Stegostoma tigrinum: one gene and its partners. The protein of the gene in region 3 purifies or fractionates together with the protein of the main gene of each other region. This does not show direct contact. Links are inferred from orthologs where the notes say so. Each region holds a gene or a part of one and is shown on either strand. Other genes may lie near its edges. The genes, in order: coatomer subunit delta, copg2 and copb2.

Region 1 (8,072 bases), on a different chromosome or scaffold from region 3:
TGAGACATCCCGAAGACCTGAAAATGCAACATAAATACAAGACGTTTCTTTCCAATCAGCCAGGGCAGCCGGTCCACAAACTGCAGTCCCAGGCAACTTACCTGAACAATCTGGTAATTTACTTCTATTTGCACCTCAAAAAAAACTTGCACATTTTTCCTCTATTGAGCCTACAATTTCAGTCAGTTTATAGTTTTCCCAATGGCAACGTGTTAAAATTCAAATCACCTGGCATTCACATTTCAAGCGTATGCAAAATTAAGTAAATCTTTGCATCCACATGACGCAAATAAATAGCAAGTGGTTGAGACACTGAGTTAGACTGATAAATGCAACAGCAAGTCTCTTAACATTACTAATATTATATCAGGCTTGTGAAACACTGGCTCACTGTCACACGGCCTACACCTCCATCCTAAACACTACCTCCAAGCCACTGTGGCAGAAATCACAATGGGACCATATGGCCCATCAAACCTGCTGTACCATTCAATAATGTCATGACCGATTTTCAACCTCCACTTTCTCACATTGTCCACATGTTCCCTGATTCCCTTAGGGCTGCAAAGTCTAATGAAATTAATTTGAGCATAATGACTGAGCATTTTTATCCTTCCATGGTGCTGACAGCCTTTACATCTTAGAACATGGAATAGTACAGGCCCTTTGGTCCACCATGTGTATGGTGACCAGATGCCATTCTAAACTAATTCCATCTGCCTGCAAATGGTCTACATTTATCTATTCCTTGTCTGAATGTCTGTTAAACATTGGTATCATAACTGTTCCTACCACCTCCCATGACAGTGTCTGTCAGACTGCCCCAATACTCTAGTAAAAACAATACAAGTTGACCCAACCTCTCCATATAGCCAATACACCGCAATCCAGGCACTGCCCTCATAAATTAACATTTTGCTCAATTGCTTTTATAAATCCATGAGAAATTGTTTTGGCTGACCATCCTAACTGCCCTTCAGTGGTAATGCCTTCTTGATCAGTTGCAGTCCATGTGGTTGTGACCTAGAGGGAGACAGTTCCAGGATTGACCCATTAACAGTAAATGGCCTGTAATTAATCTTGGTTAGCCACAGAAACATGGTGCAGATTTGCAACGACCTGAAATCATAACCAATTCCAACCATGACTAATTCTATGATTATTACACATTCACAAAAACACTTTATACAGTACAGGTCAATAACATCGAACAAAGCACCAGCGGCTGTTCATTCCATAGCTATGGCTTTGGCCAATTGCTGTCTTGTCCAAGGTAAGTTTACTCAGTAAAAACGTGGGATCAAACTGGAAATTCTACATTCTATATCACAGCAAGTCTGCTACACACAAAAGCCCAGAGAGCTGGGAGTGCGTTTCAAGAAAACGGATAACATTTGACAAGCTTTAAATTTCCGTTTAACAGAAGTACATCACCAACACGTAGCTTTCTAAAACTTAACACACCATCTGCATGCCTTTGTGGTAAATAGCTACACAACAGCCACGTAGGAACCCCAATTTCTGAACCAATATAGGTGTTAAGTGTGAGTTATGATTGAGTTCCAAACAGCAACATTGTTGCATCTTTCAGAACTGAAAAGGCAGAATTGCAGCCTGAGCCATTTTAAGATCAAAACTGTAACTTTTAATCAACACAAGTATTGAAATGACATGCAAGTTATAAGATTTCACACAAGTTTCACAAAAACTGATCACATTACCAAAGATTTAGATTTTTTTTAGTTGATAAGGAGATGGAACCCCAAGTTTAATTTTCCCTGAGCAGTACTGGACCATCAAAAAGATATTTATAACAGAAAACTACTATGAAGACAGTGAGGCCCATATAGCTCAGTGATAGCAATTCAAAAACTCAAAGTTCACCTACTGTACCTTAGACTTACTCAACTTCGATGAGTAAGTAAACAAGCGTAGAGGTAAAGTGTCCATAATGCTGTCTTTTGAAAAAAAAAGTCCATTTTAAGACATAATTTGAATTATTCTCAAACAACATCACAAGGTGAGCTAGTAATACTTCAGTCCTGGACTGTTGCATACGAAGTGATGATGTGTCACATCAATATGGTGAAAAAATGCAACAGGCCATCCCTACACCAAACAGGAAGGGGTATGAAACAGACTTAATGAGAAAGGAGCAAAAAGGTAAACGGTTGAAATTAGACACTGCTGGAAATACTGAAACTACTGTTTTTAATCATGTGAAAAGGCTCTAAGGGTTTCCAAATAAGACCTTAACTCTTAGACTGCCTAACAATGAAATTGTTCCATTTATTTATAGTCACCCCAGGATCACGAAATTGAGCATTTTGATGGAAAATGGTAAACGTGCAGAAGTTTTTACAAATGAAAAGTCATAGTTAAGCCACTCCTAAAAGCAGTCTGACTTTATGGGTTGCAAGGAGCTATGTCGCATTAGTTTCAATGCTAATTAAGACCCACGAACAACGTTTAGCAACAGTGGAGAGAGATAGGAAGATGAAGGGTGTAAACCCGAAACGTCGACATTCCTGCTCCTCTGATGCTGCCTGGGCGGCTGTGGTCCTCCAGCTCCACAATATATTTAACAACAATGTCCTTCTTTAAAAGGGGAAGAGGCCAGTTCTGTTCTGTATTTAATGCAGTTTCGCTGTGATATCAGCCACGCCACCGTTTAAAGGCCAGTGCCGGGGTTAATTCAGTAAGATGACCCGTGAAACGGGTTGCTCAGTGCAACGGGGGCCGATACAGAACGGGACTGAGTTCTCAGGAAAGCTCTTTGTGGGCACTGCGGCCTACCCTGGGCAGGCCCAGCCTGACAGCCAGAAGTGGAGCACGGCTAAAGCCACGAAGCCTCGCGCTTTCTTACCATCTTCGCGTCCACCGGAGGCCTCTCCTTCGGCCGGCTGCTGTCGTTGCTACACCTGTGAGGAGATCGTCGCCAAGTAGCGGCGAGTGGACGGTGCACAGTCAAACCGAACCTGCGGCGATCCCAGCGCCGGCAAGATGGCGGCGGCGGCCACGTCTCCAACCGGAAGTGAGGGACCCGTTCGGGTCAAAGGGTAGCAACACCTCCCCATTCATGAAATCCCAGACTGTATCCCTAAGAATTATATACCATTTACCCTGTATCCCCAAAAATATATACCATTGGCACTGTTGCCCCTTAATATATACCATTTACCCTGTATACCCACAAATATACACCACTGAGACTATGTTCCCATAATGTAAACCATTCACTCTGTATCCCCAACAAATATACACTATTCACTCTGCATCCCCACGAATTATGTACCATTCTCACTGTATCCTCAACAATATATACATTCACACTGTATCCCCAAGAATTATATACTATTCACTCTGTATCCCCAATAACATATACCATTGACATTATCTCCAATAATCTATACCATTCATTCTGTATCCCCAAGAATTGTTTTGTTTTATTCATTCACAGAATGAGTGCATTGCTGGCTAGGCAGCATTTATTGCCCATCCCTAATCACCCAAAGCACCATTAAGAGTCAATCACATTGCTGTAGGTCTGGAGTCACCAGTAGACCAGGCCAGGTAGTTTCCTACCCTAAAGAACATTAGTGAACCAAATAAGTGTTTCCAACAATCAACAGTGGATTCACGGCCATGATTAGATTCTTAATTCCAGATATTTTTATTGAATTCAAATTCCACCATGGAAGGATTTGAACCCAAGTCCCCAGAACATTATGTGGGTCTCTGGATTAACAGTCCAGTGATAATACCACTAGGCCATTGCCTCCCATTATATACCATTCATTTTGCTTCCTCAAGAATTATATACCATTTTCACTGTATCCCCAATAATATATGATTCACTCTTTATCCCCAAGAATTCAATGCCATACACTCCATACCACCAATATATATCATTCACACTGTATCCCCAAGAATTATATCCCATTCACTCTGTATCCCAAAGAATTAGACACCATTCATTCTGTGTCCTTGAGAATTATATATCATTCACACTGTATCCCAAAGAATTAGATACCATTCATGCTGTATCCCTAGTAATTCAATACCGTTCACACTGTGTCCTGAGGAATTATGTACCATTAACTTTGTATCCCCAAGAATTATCTACCATTCACACTCTATCCACCAAAATATAATGCCATTCACATGATCTCCCCAATTATTACATATAATCAACTCAGTATCCCCAATAATTAAATAGCATTCACAATGTATTCCCAATAATTCAATGCCAGATGTAATGTAACATTAATTAAATATGATTCATACTGTAGCACTGTAATCCCAATACTTCAAGGAGGTTTATCAGGATGCTGCCTGGACTGGAGGGCTTGTCTTACGAGGAGAGGTTGACTGAGCTCGCACTTTTCTCTCTGGAGAGAAGGAGGAAGAGAGGTGACCTGATCGAGGTGTACAAGGCAATGAGAGGCATGGATAGAGTCGATAGCCAGAGACTTTTCCCCAGGGCAGGATTGACTGCCACGAGGAGTCATATTTTAAGGTGTTAGGAGGAAGGTATAGAGGAGACGTCAGAGGGAGGTTCTTCACCCAGAGAGTTGTGAGCGCATGGAATAGTTTGCCAGTGGTAGTCGTGGAAGCAGAGTCATTAGTGACATTTAAGCGACTGCTGGACATGCACATGGACAGCAGTGAATTGAGGGGAATGTAGGTTAGGTTATTTTAGTTTTGGACTAGGATTATTCCATGGCACAACATCATGGGCTGAAAGGCCTGTACTGTGCTGATCTTTTCTATGTTCTATATTCTATTAATACTGTATCCACAAAAATTACATAACTATCATGTGTCCCAGTGATTCAATATGGTTCACAGTATTCCCAGTGATTAAAAAGCATTCACACTTAATCCTAAATAATTATATACCATTCACACTGTTTCCCCAATTATTACATACTATTGATCTGTATCCCCAATAATGCAATGCCATTCACATTGTAACACTGTAGCTCCAATAATTAAATACCATTCACTCTGAACTACTGCATCCCCAGTAATTAAATACCATTCACCCTGCAGCATTGATTCTCTCTGAACTTCTGGGTGGTGGGGTTTGCACAATTCTAATGTAACCGGAACACCAGAGTGTGTTCTGCAGACATTGGCTTAAATCCAAACATGGCAAGTATAAATATTTTAATTCATGGAAATCTGGATGAAAAACCAGTCTTATGATGACCAGGTAACCATTGTTGATGGCTATTAAAGTCCACCTGGTTCAGTAATCTTATTTAGGAAAGGAAATCTGCCATCCTAACCTGGCCTACCCTATATATGATATCAGAACCACAGCAACGCAGCTGACTTTTAACTGACCTCGCGGTGATTATGGATGAGTTATAAATGAATGCTTAGCCAGTGATGCCAGCTTTTCCTGAATGAATTCTGTTTTAAGTATACAAAAGTATACTTATATATAAAAGTATAATTGTGATGCATGTGATTGACAAGCAACTATTTAATTGTCCTAACCATGAGTCAGATTTTGGGGAATATTCACCCCACTGAAAGTTCAAACAAAACTAAGTAAACTTTGTGATATTTTCATTCTGGTTTTAAAACATTAAATTAATTCCTTTATCAATGCAAAAATTGGATCTTAAAAGTGCATAGGAAATGCACATGGTGAAGTAAATGCATTGAAACATTATACAATATTCCATGAAGTTTCCAATATGTGGCTTTGTAATTTATTGTTGAAATGAAAAGCTTTATCGAAATGGGAAAACTGAAATTTAAAAGAAAACAGCAAACTCACCGTCAAATCAAAAGCATCAACATCACAATAAACCTCATGAAAGTTTGTGACATGTATGTATTTCTGGTTCAATATCAAAATAAAATCCTTTGACAATGGTGCAAATTTAAATGATTTTTGACAAAAGCTGGAATTTACATTGCCAGGTCAATAGCCTGGAAAGGAAGGCCAATATCCTTGCATTCACAACCAGATATAATCCACAATAAAAACAGAAAATATCAAACTGAATTTGAAAGTTAACAGTTAACTTTGAGTGTAAGGTAAGTTCTGCTGTGCCCAAATTGTTATTCATCCTCTGGGAGCTGGATAGCTCATCTGACTTGTAGGTATGATATTCCTATTGGCTTAAATAAACAGCAATACACAAACAGGCCATTTGGCTCAGCCAGTCAGTGTGGAGGTTTATTATTATGATACAAGTAGCATCCCTCCATGTGCTCATTCTGTTTCCCCTATCCTGTTTTTTATTCCCTTGCCCTTCAGCCACGAAATTAAGCAATTCTTGACATACTCTCCGCTTCAACCCCTACATTTGGTAGTACATTCCACAGGTTCGTAAAGCTCTACCTAAAAACGCGTCCTACTGCTCTCATCCTTAACTGTTTTTTGTTCCCTCAGTCTAGATCTCTCATGACTGGAAATAAATCTTTCTTTAATTTTGCAAAATCTGCTAGATTCAGGTATATCCCATTAGTTTGAAAGATAATGAATGTAGCTCCTTTATTCAACCAAAAAGAATGGAAACAGATGCAGGAAACTGCAAGCAAGTTTGGTTAACATTTGTCATAGGGAAAATGTTTGGACTTATTATCAAACAGCAGTGCGTTTAGAACAATTCAAGATTATCACACAGAGTCGACATGGTCTTGAGAAAGAGAAAGAGAAATGATGTTTATTGGAGTTCTTTGAATAGGGTAAGGCGAGGTGATGGCCTAGTGGTATTATGACTGGACTGTTAATCCAGAGACGCAGGTAATGTCCTGAGGACCTGGATTTGAATCTTGCCACAGCAGATGGTGGAATTTGAATTCTCCAAACATCTGGAAGTAAGAGTCTAATGATGACCATGAATCCATTGTCTACTGTCAGGAATAACACATCTTGTTCACGAATGTCCCTTAGGGAAGGAAACTGCCATCCTTCCATTGACTCCATCTACACTTCCCATTGCATTGGGAAAGCAGTTAACATAATCAAAGACCCCTCCCACCCTGGTTATACTCTCTCCCAACCCCTTCCATTGGGCAGAATCATAGAATCCTAGAATCATAGAATCCCTACAGTGTGGAAACAGGCCCTTTAGCCCAACAAGTCAACACCAAACCTCAAAACATCCCACTCAGACCCATCCCCCTATAACCCACCTAATCTACACACCCCTGCACGCTATAGGCAATTTAGCATGGCCAATCCACCAAACCTGCACATCTTTTGGACTGTGGGAGGAAACCAGAGCACCCGGAGGAAACCCCCACAGACACAGGGAGAATGTGTAAACTCCACGCAGACAGTCGCCTGAGGGTGGAATCGAACCCGGGTCCCTGGTGCTGTGAGGCTGCAGTACTAAAGTTTGAAAACATGTACCAACATATTCAAGAACAGCTTCTTCCCTCCTAGAGTTATCAGACTTTTGAATGGACCTCTCATATATTAGAGTTGACTTTTGCACCTTCTCTGTCCTATTACCCTGGTGTACTTATATAAGATATGATTTGCCTGGTGAGTAGACAAAACAAGACTTACCACTGTATCTTGGTACATATGACAATAATAAATCAAATCTTAACTGCCTCACTGTGAATGAGGAGATTTATATCACTGTCATTTTTATCCATGCCAGTTCTTTGTTGGATTAATCCAAACAGATCTCAACACTCTGATCTCCCCGCATAACCTGCGATCTGCAGCTTCAAATATTTGTCTATGTTTCCTTTAAAAGATTCAATAGCTGTTTCCACTATCCACTGGGACTGTTTTCTGGGACAGCATGTTCTATATGTAATGAAAATGATTACTGATGTTGACAAAGTAAGTTCACAATGAGCTGAATAAACAACAAATTTGATTTTTGCGCTAAATTACAAAGAAAATTTCCAATTCTTCAACCAGGTGCTGGTATTTATCTGAAAAACTGAAACAAGGAAATTAAAGCTTGATGTAAAAGTATATCTCACGACTAGCAATCACTTGTGAATGAAATTCAGTGTCGCTGGTCACAGGCTCTGTGGGTACTTGTGCCACTGATAAGCCCAATCCTAGAGTCACATCTCTCACT
Region 2 (7,167 bases), on a different chromosome or scaffold from region 3:
ATCTGCCACTTATCTTTGTATAATTGCTTTTTTCCTTTCATACATCCTTTTCTTTTTTAATTAACCACGGATGCTGGATCTTCCTCTTAAACTTTATTTCTCATTGGAATGCATCTATTGTGAATACAGAAATATCCCCTTAATGTCAGCCACAGTATCCCTAGTGACCTATGGTATCAATGTGGACTTCGAGCTTCAAAATCTCCCCTTCCCCCACCGCATCCCTAAGCCAGCCCAGTTCGTCCCCTCCCCCCACTGCACCACACAACCAGCCCAGCTCTTCCCCTCCACCCACTGCATCCCAAAACCAGTCCAACCTGTCTCTGCCTCCCTAACCTGTTCTTCCTCTCACCCATCCCTTCCTCCCACCCCAAGCCGCACCCCCATCTCCTACCTACTAACCTCATCCCACCTCCTTGACCTGTCCGTCTTCCCTGGACTGACCTATCCCCTCCCTACCTATCTTCTTTTCTCTCCATCTTCGGTCCGCCTCCCCCTCTCTCCCTATTTATTCCAGAACCCTCACCCCATCCCCCTCTCTGAAGAAGGGTCTAGGCCCGAAATGTCAGCTTTTGTGCTCCTGAGATGCTGCTTGGCCTGCCGTGTTCATCCAGCCTCACATTTTATTATCTTGGATTCTCCAACATCTGCAGTTCCCATAATGTAACTTGCCAGTTCACTTTAGCTAGCTCTGCTTTCACGTCCTTATTTAAATTTAAACGCTTATCTCAAACTGAAACTTACTGCAAAGACTGTAGCATACTCATAATTGGGCTATTTGTCCTTCTCGATGGTAAAGATCATGGGCTGAGAAAAAGCTTGGAAACATTCAAGTGCATGCAAGGCCAGTGCCATACAGCAATGCAGTTTAAGAGCCAAGCACTGGTATGTTTCTCACTGAATGAGCAACCAAACATCAATTTTAGTAACTTGAAGTTATGTTACTGTTTAACTTAGTAGAACATCTTGAGGTGCTTCATAATAACATTCTCAAGCAAACTGCGAGTGAGTACCATCTATACAAATATTATCAGATGACCAAAGATTTGGTCAGAAGTCACATGACACCAAGTTATAGACCAACCGGTTTATTTAAAAATCGCAAGCTTTTGGAGTGCTGCTCCTTCACAGCTGACTTCACCTGACAAGGCCAACATCAGCACCTCCACATAATCACCAAAAATTTGAGAGAGATAAGCAATAAGTTTTAGTGAGGGAGTTTCGGAGTTTCAGGGCTAGTGCCCAGGGCAGGTGAAAGCACAACTGGCAAAAGCTTTTTCTTTACATGTTCATGGGATGTGGTTGTCACTGGCAAGGACAGCATTTGATGCCAATATGTAATTGCTTTGGAAAAGTCATGGTGGTGAACATCCTTGTTGAACTGCTGCAGTCCATTTCTTCTATGGAGTATGGAATTGCAAGATTTTGTCTGGCAACAATGAATGAAAGATGGCACATCTCTAATTCAAGAAACTGTGATCTGGAGTGGAATATGCAGGCAGTCGAAATTCTAATATGCTTGTTCTAGTTGGTAGCAGTCAAGAGTTTAGGAGGTGCTATCTAAGAAGCCTTAGTGGGTTGCTGCAATGTATCCCAATGAAGATAGATGCTACAGTTGATGGAAACAGTGAATGTTTAAGAGTGTGGATGGGGTTTCAATCATACTTATCCCAAATGGTGTGGATTATTATCAATATTGTTGGTACTGCATTCATTCTGGAATGCACATTCCTGAGTTGGCCGTGTAGATAGTAGAAAGATTTCAAGAAGTCAGGAAGTGAGTTGCTCATTGCAGAATATCTGATCAACCTGTTCTCAGAGCCATAGTATTTATGTGACTGAGACCATTGAATCTTTGGTTAAAGGTGCCATTTGGGAATTTAGCAATGACAATGCCATTGAATTTCAAATGGAGGTTATTAGATTCTCACTTGTTGATGATGGTCATTGCCTGGCACAAATGTTACATGCCACTAAGCAGGCCAAGTCTGACTACTGTCCAGGTCATGCTGTGTATGGTGTACATAGTTATCTGAGGCATCACAATGACCAGTGGAAGGGATGAATTGGAAGCAGGAGAACACAGCATTAGTGGAGGTATATCTTTGGTGTTATTCAGACTGGAGATACTAGAGCAGAGGTATGACCGATCAGAAGCAGTGATCAAATGCACTATGGAAACACCAAATATTGTTAAAGCTCAAGTGGAATTTGCTATTTAAACACTGAAGAGCGGCATGTTAAGATATACGACAGCGTCTAAGACGCATTATTGGGGGACAAAAAGAAGGATAATAAATTGTGCCTGGCAGCCATCCCAGGGCACTGGATTTTTCAGTTGCTACAATGTAGTGGTTACTGTCCTAACCACTACCTTATCAGCACACTGGCTAGACAATCACCAGTACCCGCCCCGAATCTATACAAATCCGTTTAGTTTCAATCTGCTATCGCCTGCAGTGCGCCATTGATCGTACTCTCTCATGACACCGATCAGTTAAAACTCTCGACAATAAAGATGGTCAATAGCAGCAGCTCACTGTCCCATGTATTACTCTCACATGCCTCTCCGTATAATAAGCAGAAAAGGTATCCGAGGGTAAATGTTTAAACTGTTCCCACCGTAGCCTGACCCACACACAGACCCCTTTCTCCCGCGGTAAACCCGAGCGGGGTCGGCGGCTTCTACTGACCAGCCCTCGGGCGCGGACAGGGCCCGCAGCCTGACTCCCACAGACAACGAGGTCATTTACAGCGAGAGTAAAGAATTAACGGCTGAACGGTAACTCTGCGTCCAGAACAAAATCACTAACCCAACTCCTCATCTTTTTTATCGAATTTCTTCAACATTTTTACAGCATCGAATCCAGAAGCCGTCGTCAGGGAGACAGCACCTGACCACACCCTCCCACTCCGATTGACAGTAATAGGGCGTGCCCACATCACTAACCGCTCTCAAAACAGCTCCCATAAAAAATTTCGCTCACGACCAGCATCCTTTATTTCTTTTCTCACGCTGCTGAGGATTTCCAGCATTTTCTGCTTTTTATTTTGGATTACCAGGCATTCCCCTCGCAATGACTGACGGCTCATTTCACCAGAGGCCCGCCCCTCGCAATGACTGACAGCTCAGCATCCCAGAGACACGCCCCTCACAGTGACTGCTCAATATTTGTTTACAGTTGTTTACAAGAGATGATTTGGAGTTGGGGACTAAGTATGGTGTGTCGAAATTTGTAGATGACACTAAGGTGAGTGGTAGAGCAAAGCGTGCTGAAGACACTGAAAGTCTGCAGAGGGATATAGATAATCTGAGTGGGCAAAGGTCTGGCAGGTGGAGGACAATGTTGATAAGTGTGAGGTCATCCATTTTGGTAGGAATAACAGCAAAATGGATTATGTTTTAAATGTAAAAAATTGCAGCACGCTGCGTGGCAAATGGACTTAAGTGTCCTTGTGCATGAATCGCTAAAAGTAGGATTGCAGGTGCAGCAGGTAGTTAAAAAGGCAAATAGAATTTTGTCTGCCATTGCTAAAGGGATGGAGTTTAAAAACAGGGAGGCTATGTGCAGTTGTATAGAGTCCTGGTGAGGCCACACCTGGAGTACTGTGTGCAGTTTTGGTCACCTTAATTGAGAAGAGATATACCAGCACTGGAGGGGGTGCAGACGAGATTCATTCAGTTGGTTCCAGAATTGAGAAGGTTGGATTATGAGGAGAGACTGAGTAGGCTGGGATTATACTCATTGGAATTCAGAAGAATGAGGTGAGATCTTATAGAAACATATAAGATTATGAAGGGAATAGATAAGGTAGAGGCAGCGAGGTTGTTTCCGCTAGCGGGTGAAACTAGGACTAGAGGGCATCCCCTCAGAATAAAGGGAAGCAGATGTAGCACTGAGGTCAGGTGGAACTTCTTCACCCAAAAGGTTGTGAATCTGTGGAATTCCCCGCCCAGTGAAGCGGTTGAAGCTACCTCGCTGAATGTTTCTAAGGCAAGACTAGATAAATTTTTGAACAGTGAAAGAATTAAGGGTTATGGTGAGTGGGCGGGTACGTGGAGCTGAGTCTCAAAAACATCAGCCATGATCTTATTAAATGGTGGGGCAGGCTCAAGGAGCCAGATGACCTATTCCTGGTCCTAGTTCTTATGTTCTTAATACCACAGAGCCCCACCTCTCACAATGACTGACAGCTCCGTTCCCCATCGCCCAGACCCTCACAATGACTAACAGCTCAGTATACCAGAGCCCCGCCCCTCACAACGATTGACAGCTCATCACTCCAGAGCCGAACCCCTCACAATGATTGACTGCTCATTATCCTAGAGCCCAATCCCTCACAATGACTGACAGCTTATTACCCCAGAGCTCAGCCCCTCACAATGACTGTTCTGAGGAAGGATCACTGGACCCGAAACATTAACTCTGTTTGTTTCTCCTTCACAGGTGCAGCCAGACCTGCTGAGCTCTTCCAGCAACTTTATTTTTATTCTGCACAACATCTGACTGCTCATTACCTCAGAGTCCCTCCCCTCACAATCGCAGCCCACTCATTACCTCAGACCCCTGCCCCTCACAATGACTGACAGCCTATTATCCCACAGCCCTGCCACCCCTCAAATTGACAGACTGCTCAAAACCTACAGAGGCTCACCATCCTCATTTGCTAACATTTCAACATGTAACAAAGTGTGGAGCTGGATGAACACAGCAGGCCAAGCAGCATCTCAGGAGCACAAAAGCTAACGATTTGGGCCCATTCCCTTCATCAGAAAAGAGGGATGGGGAAGGGGTTCTGAAATAAATAGGGAGAGAGGGGGAGGCAGATTGAAGATGGATAGAGGAGAAGATAGGTGGAGAGGAGAGTATAGGTGGGGAGGGGATAGGTCAGTCCGGGGAGGACAGGCAGGTCATTGGGGCGGGATGAGGTAACCTGTTCTTACTTTCACCCATCCCCTCCTCCCACCTCAAGCTGCACCTCCATTTCCTACCTACTAACCTCATCCTGCCCTCTTGACCTGTCCATCCTCCCCGGACTGACCTATCCCCTCCCTACCTCCCCACCTATACTCTCCTCTCCACCTATCTTCTCCTCCATTCATCTTCAATCTGCCTCCCTCTCTCTCCCTATTTATTTCTGAACCCTCTCACCATCCCCCTTTTTTGATGAAGGGTCTAGGCCCGAAATATCAGCTTTTGTGCTCCTGTGATGCTCCTTGGCCTGCTGTGTTCATCCAGCTCCTGAAACGTCAGCTTTTGTGCTCCTAAGATGCAGCTTGGCCTGTTGTGTTCATCCAGCTCCACACTTTGTTATCTCGGATTCTCCAGGATCTGCAGTTCCCATTATTTCTGTATACAATAGAGCCCCATGTATCGGATTAGCTGGTAGCTTAATATACATGGACCCCTGCCTTTCAGAGCGAATAACAGGAGTAGGCCATTCAGCCCCTCAAACCTGTACTGCCTTTCAATAAGTTCATGGCTGATCTGTGACCTAATGCCTTATGTTTGCCAGAGGGTGTACGTATTCCTTGATATTGTACTTAATAAAAAATTGACCAGCTCAGATTTATGATTTATTGTCATGTGTATTTTACAGTGAAAATACAGTAAAATACAGTGAAAAGCTTTTCCTCTGTCACAATGATCTGGCGCCATTTTGAAAAATGTTCAGTATAAGAAAGAAATAGAAAGATATAGCTTAAAGAGAGTCCATCAGTCGTAAGCCATCATCCAAGACACCTGCATCACCATCCCTCCCCCGCTGCATCAACGCCATCTGCCCTGGACCCAACCAACGTTGAAGTCGCCACTCTTCAGGCCCCATCTTATGCCGCTGGGCTGATTCTCCTCTGCCAGTGCCTCACCGCCACCTCCACCAGACCTGCTACCATCGCTGGGCCCACCTGGACAATGTTGCTGTGATACCCTTCTGCCATGGCTTCACTGCCAGCAGCGCTGGACCCACCAATAAAGAAGTTGTCAATCCTCAGACACCATCTTTCGCTGCTATGCCTATCTCACCAACGTCATCACCAATCTAGCAGCTGTTGATATCAATGCCAAGCCCTGTGCTTACCCTGGAAAAGTAAAAATATATTCCATATATGAAAATTTAAAATTGAAGTCCAATTCTCTTCTCAGTTCTAAAGAGTCTTCCCTACTCTCTCAACCCGTGCCCTCAATGCTAGTCTCTCCCACTAGTGGAAACATCTTCCCAACATCCACTCACTCCAGGCCTCTCCGTATTCTTTAAGTTTCAGTGTGATTTAAAAAAACACAACAAAAGAGAAGTAAGGCACAGGAACAGGCCTTTCGGCCCTCCAAGCCTGTGCCGATCATCATCCCCTGACTAAACTAAAATACAAACCTTCTGCTCTTATTCAGTCCGTATCCCTCCTTCATATAACCATTCAGATGCCTCTTAAATGTTGCCAACGTGCCTGCTTCCACCACCTCTCTGGCAGTGCATTCCAGGCTCCTAGCACTCTCTGCATGAAAAACGTATCTCGCACATCTCCCTTAAATGTTTTCCCACTCACCTTGAACCTGTGCCCCTTTGTAACTGAAACTTTAACCCTGGGAAAAAATAGTCTCTGGCTGTCCACCCTATCTATATCTCTATAATTTTGCAAACCTCTATCAGGTCCCTCCTCAGCTGCCGTCTTTGCAGTGAAAACAATCCTAGCCTTTTTGGTCTTTCCTCGTAGCTAATGCCCTGGAGACCAGGCAACATCCTGGTGAATCTTCTCTGCACTCTCTCCAAAGCTTGAGATAGGCATAGCAGCAAAACATGGTGTCTAAGGATTGACAACTTCTTTATTGGTTGGGTCCAGTGCTGCTGGCAGTGAAGCTGCGGCGGAAGGGCGTCACAGCAAAATTGTCCAGGTGGGCCCAGCGATGGTAGCGGTCCTTCTGGTAATGTGGCAACCAAAACTGCACACAATACTCCTCCTTCCAAACTCTATTGGGTACAGACGCACAGTCCTTAACCGTGCCTCATATGACAAGCCCTTCCTCCCCAGGATCATTCTGGCCGAGAGGTAAGGACATTACCACTACACTACAAGTATCCCTATGAGACGGACAGTATTCTGTCATACCTGGACTTGTGCCTTATGGATGATGGACAGGTTTTCAGGAGTCAGGAGGTAAGTTATTTGAT
Region 3 (7,254 bases):
TGTGAGACTCTGTTAAAGATGTATTAACCTATTAACTACATTAGAATAATTTGTGGTCATGAAAGGTCCATAAATTTGTAAACAACATTCCTATCTTTATACAGAATTGTCATGGCAGACTGTTACCAGACAAGTTCATAAAACTTAACATTACAACAGCCGATCACGTTCCCCGTGCACATTCATACACAATGAGCCACTCACACATGATAGCAAATGGACATTACCTTCTATTGAGCCATATGGAGCAAGTCATTACATTCAAGAGAGGGAAAAACAAAATAAACATTTCAGCAAAACAGTATTTCTACTAACAATGGTTTAAATCCACCATTAATCCATTCAATCCTACGGCATTTGAATTTCTAAGCAACTACTTCCAATTCCCTACATACACTCAAAGAAAAACGTGAGATATGGAATTTTATCATGCCATAGTCACTAAAATTAAAAACATCTTGCAAGTTTAACAATCAACTTGTATCATAACTTTAACACTCCAGTTCATTATTTGACAGTAGTCGGCGAAGGGCGCCAATTCAATGTCAAGGAGTTTTTGACATGAATCAATGCCAAGAAATTTGATATTCCTCATGTCTAATTAATAGAAATTGCAACTCCTAAGACTACATGTCAGATAAACAGTCTGACAGCACAATAGAGAAGTCTTGAATAATGGTGTCACAGGCAGCACGTGAATGAGAATGTGAATGACACATCTTTAGGACTCCAGAGGGAATGACACAGAAACACAGCAATCATTTCCCAAGAATGCTCTACAATTTGACAGGCAACAAAGGAAACAATAGCTAGAGATGGAGACCAGAGAGAACAGCAGCATTGGGGCAGACAACAGAATGGATGATGGTCAGCCAAGGGGTGGCATGGTGGCTCAATGGTGAGTACTGCTGCCTCACAGTGCCAGGTTCAATTCTTGCATCAGGAGAACGTGCATGGAGTTTGCACATTCTTCCTGTGTCTGTGTGGGTTTCCTCTGGGTGCTCCAGTCTTCTCCCCAGTCCAAAGATGTGCAGATTAGGTGGATTGGTCATGCTAAATTGTCCAAAGTGTCCAGGGATGCGTGGGCTAGCTGGATTAGACATGGTAAGTGCAGGGTTAAAGGGATTGGGGAGGGTTCTCAATGGCACGCTCTTTGGAGGGTCAGTGTGGACTTAATGCGCTGAATGGCCTGTTTCCATACTGTCACAATTCTACAAGTCTCAGTTTTATGAGAAAAGAAAAGCTGCTAATGGGGACCGTTAGTGCCTGAAAAAAGATTGGCTGTGGTGAAAGCTGCCCATGTGATGACACAGCCTGGTATGCAGGGGCAGGGAGTGGGGTTGGTGGTGTCGGACATGGACAATGTTCAGACTCTAAAAATGACTCCAAGCTTCAGGTTGCCTACCACTTCAATATGTCACGCTGTGTTCCCCAGTTGACATTTCAGAGTTCAGCCTGCTGTCTTGCACCAGCAAATCTCAGCAAAGGTAGAAGAACAGCATCTCATTTTCTGTTTGGAGACTCTGTAGCCTTTAGGTCTCAAAATAGAGTCCTGTCTTCAATGCACATACCAACCTTTTCCTAGCTAAAATCCATTTCAAAGAAGGGTCGCCAGACCCAAAACACTGACGCTACTTTCTCTCCTCAGATGCTGCAAGACACAGAGATTCTCCAGCTAATGCTGTTTTTGTATACCAGACAGATTATCAGATCAGCCATTTCATTTAAGGGCAGAGCAAACTTGACGGGCCCAATGGCCCACATCTGTTCCCACTGATCACATGGCAGTATGCATCAACCTAATTTAAATGCTCTCTTACAACTCATGCAGGGTCATCACATTGCAGGAATTCACTATTTGCAAAATTGTTTTTTAAGTACACAAATCTTAAGTACACAACTTTTGATGTGGAAGCAGAAATGAGTGGTGGTCAACAAAAACTTGATCTGTCTACTTCAATCTCACATCAAAAAGTGATTAATGACTTTTTATGTAAACAACAGTCATGTTCAAATCAGTCTATTCCTCCACAGCTTACAATTCTTGAATGCAGGTTAATCCAGCCTAAAAATGGTGAAACTCATTAGGTATAACAGCAACAGAAACAGGTTGTGTCCTAGACAATTCATCTTCTTAACACTGTTTATAGATACACTTCGACCTCATTTCTGCGTTACAACAGCCTCAAACCTTCAACTATGTACCTACTCAGGAATTCAGTTCTCACTAGCGGTGGATTCAATGGCTAGAAGTTATAACGACTTAAATGTCTAATAGGATACAAACACGCCTAAATTAAAACATAGTAAAATGTGAGGCTGGATGAACACAGCAGGCCAAGCAGCATCTCAGGAGCAGCTCCTGAGATGCTGCTTGGCCTGCTGTGTTCATCCAGCCTCACATTTTATTATCTTGGAATCTCCAGCATCTGCAGTTCCCATTATCTCTAAATTAAAACATAATTTACTTACTAACCCCTGACGGCCCTGTTCACAGCACGGGCCTCAAAACGGTGAGCAATAAGAGGAGTTCTGATTTCTCTCCTCAGATCCTAGCAGACTTGCTGATTGTTTCCAGTGTTTTTTTTAACTTCATATCCCAGCCTCCGCAGTATTTGGGTTTAACTACAGAACAAGAGGCCGGGCAGATGCAGTCCCTTCCAGCCTACACCTTCCTCTCGCTGCCTTAGAGCTTGGCCCTCGTATCAGCACCATATACATACAGATGGCCTTCACACACCGGGGACCCTCCGCGGCTGTACTTAGGGCCTGTGGGGCAGGGCACTTTGTGGTTGACATAACAGGGACGAGACTTCCAGCAGCCACAACCTCCTGCACCCACAGTCAGGCTCAGGCTCCCTACCCGCTCGCCAGCCACTGCTAGTCAACAACCGCGTACCCACCATCGCTGCAGCACCTCAGCCTGCGCCCACACCCAGGCCCGGCCGGACTGATGGCTCCTCTGACGTGGAGCTTCCTCCTCAGCCACGAAACACGGGATTTCCGCAACGTTCGCGAGAGACGCCGCTCCAATCAGACGCAGCGCCCCATCCCCTAGACGGTCCTCCGAACGGTGCGCCCCCTCCGCTTAGGAGGATCTCAGCACTCAATGCCCGCGTCGGCGCGGAAGACGCCAGCCCACAACACCGCCGTCCGCGAGGAGGCCCACAGGTCACAGCGCCCCCTGCGGTAGGAGGTCCTCAACACATAGCGCACACCGCCCCTCGGCCCATAGCGCCCCCTGTGGTAGGAGGGTCCCAGCACACCGCCCACTCCTGTCGCGGGCCTGCGAATACACAACGCCTCCTGCCGTTGGAGGACCTCAGCGCACACACACACACACACACACACACACCCTTCTCCGGTTGGGGGAACTGCGGACACAGCGCTCGTTTTGAGACCCGACGTTCATGTGTGTCGACATCCAATGTTAGCCAGCCTTTCCAGACCATTATGGCACATCTCTAATCCACTCACACATTGTTCTGCATTGCCATGCTGCACTTTGGAGCACACCAGCATCTAGTATTGCAGTACTGTGGGTGTGACACTTGGCGGGCAGGGTCAGGTGCCCGGGTTCACAGACTGGACCATTTCAGAGCTGCTTGCTTGTTCTCTTGGCACTTACCCTTTTTTGTGCATTCCTGGATTCTCACAGAACCCCTGCTTTACCCTTCTTTCACTGTATTTTCCGGACCGAGTGAACAAGATATATCTGTTCTGAGGAACGGTCACCGGACCCGAAACGTTATCTCTGTTTTCACCTCCACAGATGCTGCCAGACCTGCTGAGCTTTATCAGCCACTTTGTCTTTGTTGCTGTTGATGATGATGTCTGTTAAGAGATTTGTTCAAGAAAGATAGCTCCACTTGTGGAAAGATGATCACCAATGTGTTCCATATTCTCAAGCAGGTTCTAACAATAAAGTGTTACTATTGCAATACAATGACCCAATGAAAAGATACAACACGCAAAGGCTTCAATATGTGTCTTTTGCAAGATGATACAGCTATTGTTTTTCATTCTGAAAGCCTGTCATCTCTGCAAGCCAATTATTCCAATAAAGAACATAAGACATTAAGCCTGCTAATTGGCATTCTGTGGTTTCACTCATATTTAACTGGCAAAAAGTTCACTGTTGAAAGATCATAAGCCATTGTAAATGATCTGCTGAAAATTGCTAATAAGTGCACCACAGCCATTCAAGCATCTACTTGTCAAGGTGTAAGGATGTGACTTTGAAGTGAATTATGGGTCTGACATGCTGTGCAGATTATCCAACCCACATAAAGACTAAGCTATACCTCTTGACTTTCACATTGATGCTTTAGACTGTGAGATTGAAGTGGTCTCAAGATTGAACTCTTTCACTTTGACCAGGACCAGGGTGAAACTGCAACAGACATGTCAAAATTAACAAATATTGTAAAACACTGTTGTCGCGGGATTGGCTAACAGTGTTAAAGATATGCGCGGTAGGATTTGTTCATTTTGACAGTATAGAGATGGACTTGGTTTATCACAACAACTCATTTCAAATGCATAATGGTTCTAACTCTGAAAGCATTACATCAAGATACTTCCATGTTACACCAGGGGCATACAGCTACTGAACGTACCTTCCCAATTAATGTATATAAGCCAGTGATGAATCAGGATATTCAATGACTATGTGAGGGATGCCAAATAAATCAACCCCAGCAGCACAGGAATGTTTACATCCACACAATTTTTCATCCATTCCTTAGGCAAAAATATCACCAGAATTGGTCATAGTGCATGGGGAATATCACGTTCTTCAGACTAACTACTTTTCCAAATTTCCTATTATTTGGAAACCTTAGAAACACAACTAATGTGACAGCTGTTGACTCGTGGAGCAATACTTTCTGATGGCTGACATTTACAGGTCTTTGATTTTATTTAAGCATTACTTCCAGTTTATTCTGTATCTTGAAATGGATAGTGTCTGACAATGGACTGCAGTTACAAAAACAGAAATTGTTGAAAAATCTCAGCAAGTTTGGCAGCATCTGTAGAAAGAAATCAGAGTTAACGTTTCAAAGCTCTGAAGGAGGATTATTGAACCTGAAATGTTAACTTTGATTTCTGTCCATAGGTGCTGCCAGGCCTGGTGAGATTTGGTAGCACTTTCTGTTCTCATATTTTAGATTTCCAGCGTCCACAGTTCTTTATTTTGTCGACTATCGTTCCCTGACAAATCAAGGGATATGTATAAAGTGGATCATGACTCATATCACACTGTCACTCTATTATTCATATTCTAACAGTGTAACAGAACACAATCAAATCCATTATCAATAAGTGTCACACAACAAAGAGAGATTTGTGAATTGTGTTACTACATTTTCCTGAAACATCAGTGGGGAATGGTTTACCTTACCCAGAAGAACTTATGTTCAAAGATACATTGGAACAGCCTTGTCCAGCAACCAAACATCTAAGCATTTTGAGGCATAGACATTTTTATTTTCAAAAACAGAATAGAATGAAAGAGATACGTGATGAGTTATCAGGCATAGAAATACCAAATAAAAACTGAAAGAACTGTGGATGCTATAAGTCAAGATCAAAAGTAAAGTTTCTGAAGAAGGTCAGCAGGTCTGACAACATCTGTGAAGGGAAACACAGAGTTAACGTTCTGAGTTCCCAGTTCTGAGGAATGGTCACCGGGTCCAAACGTTAACTCTGTTTTTCCCTTCACCGATGTTGCCAGACCGACTGAGCTTCTCCAGCAACTTTGTTTTGTTGTGATAGAAATGTCAAAACTGAGCAAAGAATATGGGTTAGAAATACAGCAAACATGCCACCAGCCCAGATAATACCTGATATTTCCTGAGCATGGTGATAAATTATGAAGGAATAGCAACGAACTCAGACAAACATGCAACACCCTAGTCATGCTGGAGGAAACGGAGACAATGCACTCAGGGAAGTTACTGATTGTGTGGTGATGTTGAGTGACAACAACCAGCAGAATATTCAGGATGTGAATTATACACATTGTGTTCCTCAGTTGTATTTCAACCAAAAAAGTGCAAATGAACAGGGTTCATCATTTTGTCTGCATCAAGCAAGATGTCGGATATATTTAACAAAAAAGAATGTGGAAGCTTGTATTCCCCAGGAGCCCAGGCTTCTTAAAGTGCCAGCAGCGCAGGCAAAATCTTTCTTCTGAACTGACAGTAAATCATGTCTCAAAGGTATTTACACCACAGGCACAATTGTGAAACGGTGCCAATAAACACTGTGAGTTCCAACTTTTATCCTTAGTCTTGATAACCTCCAATTCCTTGTTAGGAAATAGTCTGAATTAATCTTTTTAATTGTATTATTCAACCAAGTCCAGTGAATGAATTCTTTTCTTTTCAAGCCTGAAGTTGGTAAAAGATCTTGGATTTTTTTGAAATGATGCACATTTTCAAATCAGTATATCCTCAACCATGTATAAAGTTATGAGGAAACAAGTCAGCCAGATCCCTTGAGTAAGGAAATAACGAGTTTGCTTTGTTAATTAAAAATAAACACTTAGGTTTAAAGTGTAAACATTACTAAAACCTGCAACATATACACACAAGCATCCAAGTAAATGAACCAAATTAAAGAGTGGATGATGTGGATTGGAAAAATGTAAAAGCCATAATTATAAAGAAACTGTTTCTTTCAAACTGTAGTCAAAGTTTTCCCCAGAGTGGATGCTATGGCACTCGAAGTTTCTTAGAGCATTAAATTCCCCATAATGGAGCCAATTCATGGGCACTGAAGGCCTTACAACCTCCCATTGTCACAGCTATCAGTGTAATGCTTTTTATGAGACTTTCCCTTGTTTCTGCTATTCCTTCAGACGAGATGTTAGTTGCTTGTTATCATTTTCAACTATGTTAATATAAAACAGCTCCTCAATAACATTATTTAGTTTTGGAGTAGATTTGTAGGTGTGGGTGTTGAGGTTGGTTGGTTCGCTGAGCTGATTTGTTGTTCCGCAGATGTTTCATTACCGTGCTGGGTAACATCCTCAGTGCAGCCTCTGATGAAGCGTCGGTGTGTTTTGCCGCCTGGTTTTTAAACTCTGGGGTCTGTTGCAATGGATCGCCTCACTTCTGGGTTTCCTCCATAGTGGAATGTATATGGGATGTAGTTCAATGTGTTCCATGGACTGCCTATCTCCGGACTCATAGCAGAAGCAGTGATGCAAAGACTGGAAAGGACTGCCATTCCACAAATCCAACCTAA

What was found.
Region 1: the proteins of copb2 (region 3) and coatomer subunit delta fractionate together in Homo sapiens (co-fractionation; 5 studies listed by BioGRID and IntAct, with this or other methods). This does not show direct contact. The link is inferred for Stegostoma tigrinum from reciprocal best matches to the Homo sapiens genes COPB2 and ARCN1.
Region 2: the proteins of copb2 (region 3) and copg2 fractionate together in Homo sapiens (co-fractionation; 4 studies listed by BioGRID and IntAct, with this or other methods). This does not show direct contact. The link is inferred for Stegostoma tigrinum from reciprocal best matches to the Homo sapiens genes COPB2 and COPG2.

What each region holds. Positions count from the first base shown.
Region 1 is NC_081385.1:4,853,431-4,861,502, reverse strand, and holds the start of coatomer subunit delta, read right to left. Parts: upstream 3,025-8,072; 5' UTR 2,870-3,024; coding exon 2,867-2,869; intron 1-2,866. UniProt on the Homo sapiens protein: Component of the coatomer, a cytosolic protein complex that binds to dilysine motifs and reversibly associates with Golgi non-clathrin-coated vesicles, which further mediate biosynthetic protein transport from the ER, via the Golgi up to the trans Golgi network.
Region 2 is NC_081378.1:15,783,177-15,790,343, reverse strand, and holds the start of copg2 (coatomer subunit gamma-2), read right to left. Parts: upstream 3,102-7,167; 5' UTR 2,997-3,101; coding exon 2,951-2,996; intron 2,943-2,950; exon of another isoform or gene 2,851-2,942; coding exon of another isoform or gene 2,814-2,850; intron 1-2,813. UniProt on the Homo sapiens protein: The coatomer is a cytosolic protein complex that binds to dilysine motifs and reversibly associates with Golgi non-clathrin-coated vesicles, which further mediate biosynthetic protein transport from the ER, via the Golgi up to the trans Golgi network.
Region 3 is NC_081367.1:20,776,954-20,784,207, reverse strand, and holds the start of copb2 (coatomer subunit beta'), read right to left. Parts: upstream 3,037-7,254; 5' UTR 2,907-3,036; coding exon 2,904-2,906; intron 1-2,903. UniProt on the Homo sapiens protein: The coatomer is a cytosolic protein complex that binds to dilysine motifs and reversibly associates with Golgi non-clathrin-coated vesicles, which further mediate biosynthetic protein transport from the ER, via the Golgi up to the trans Golgi network.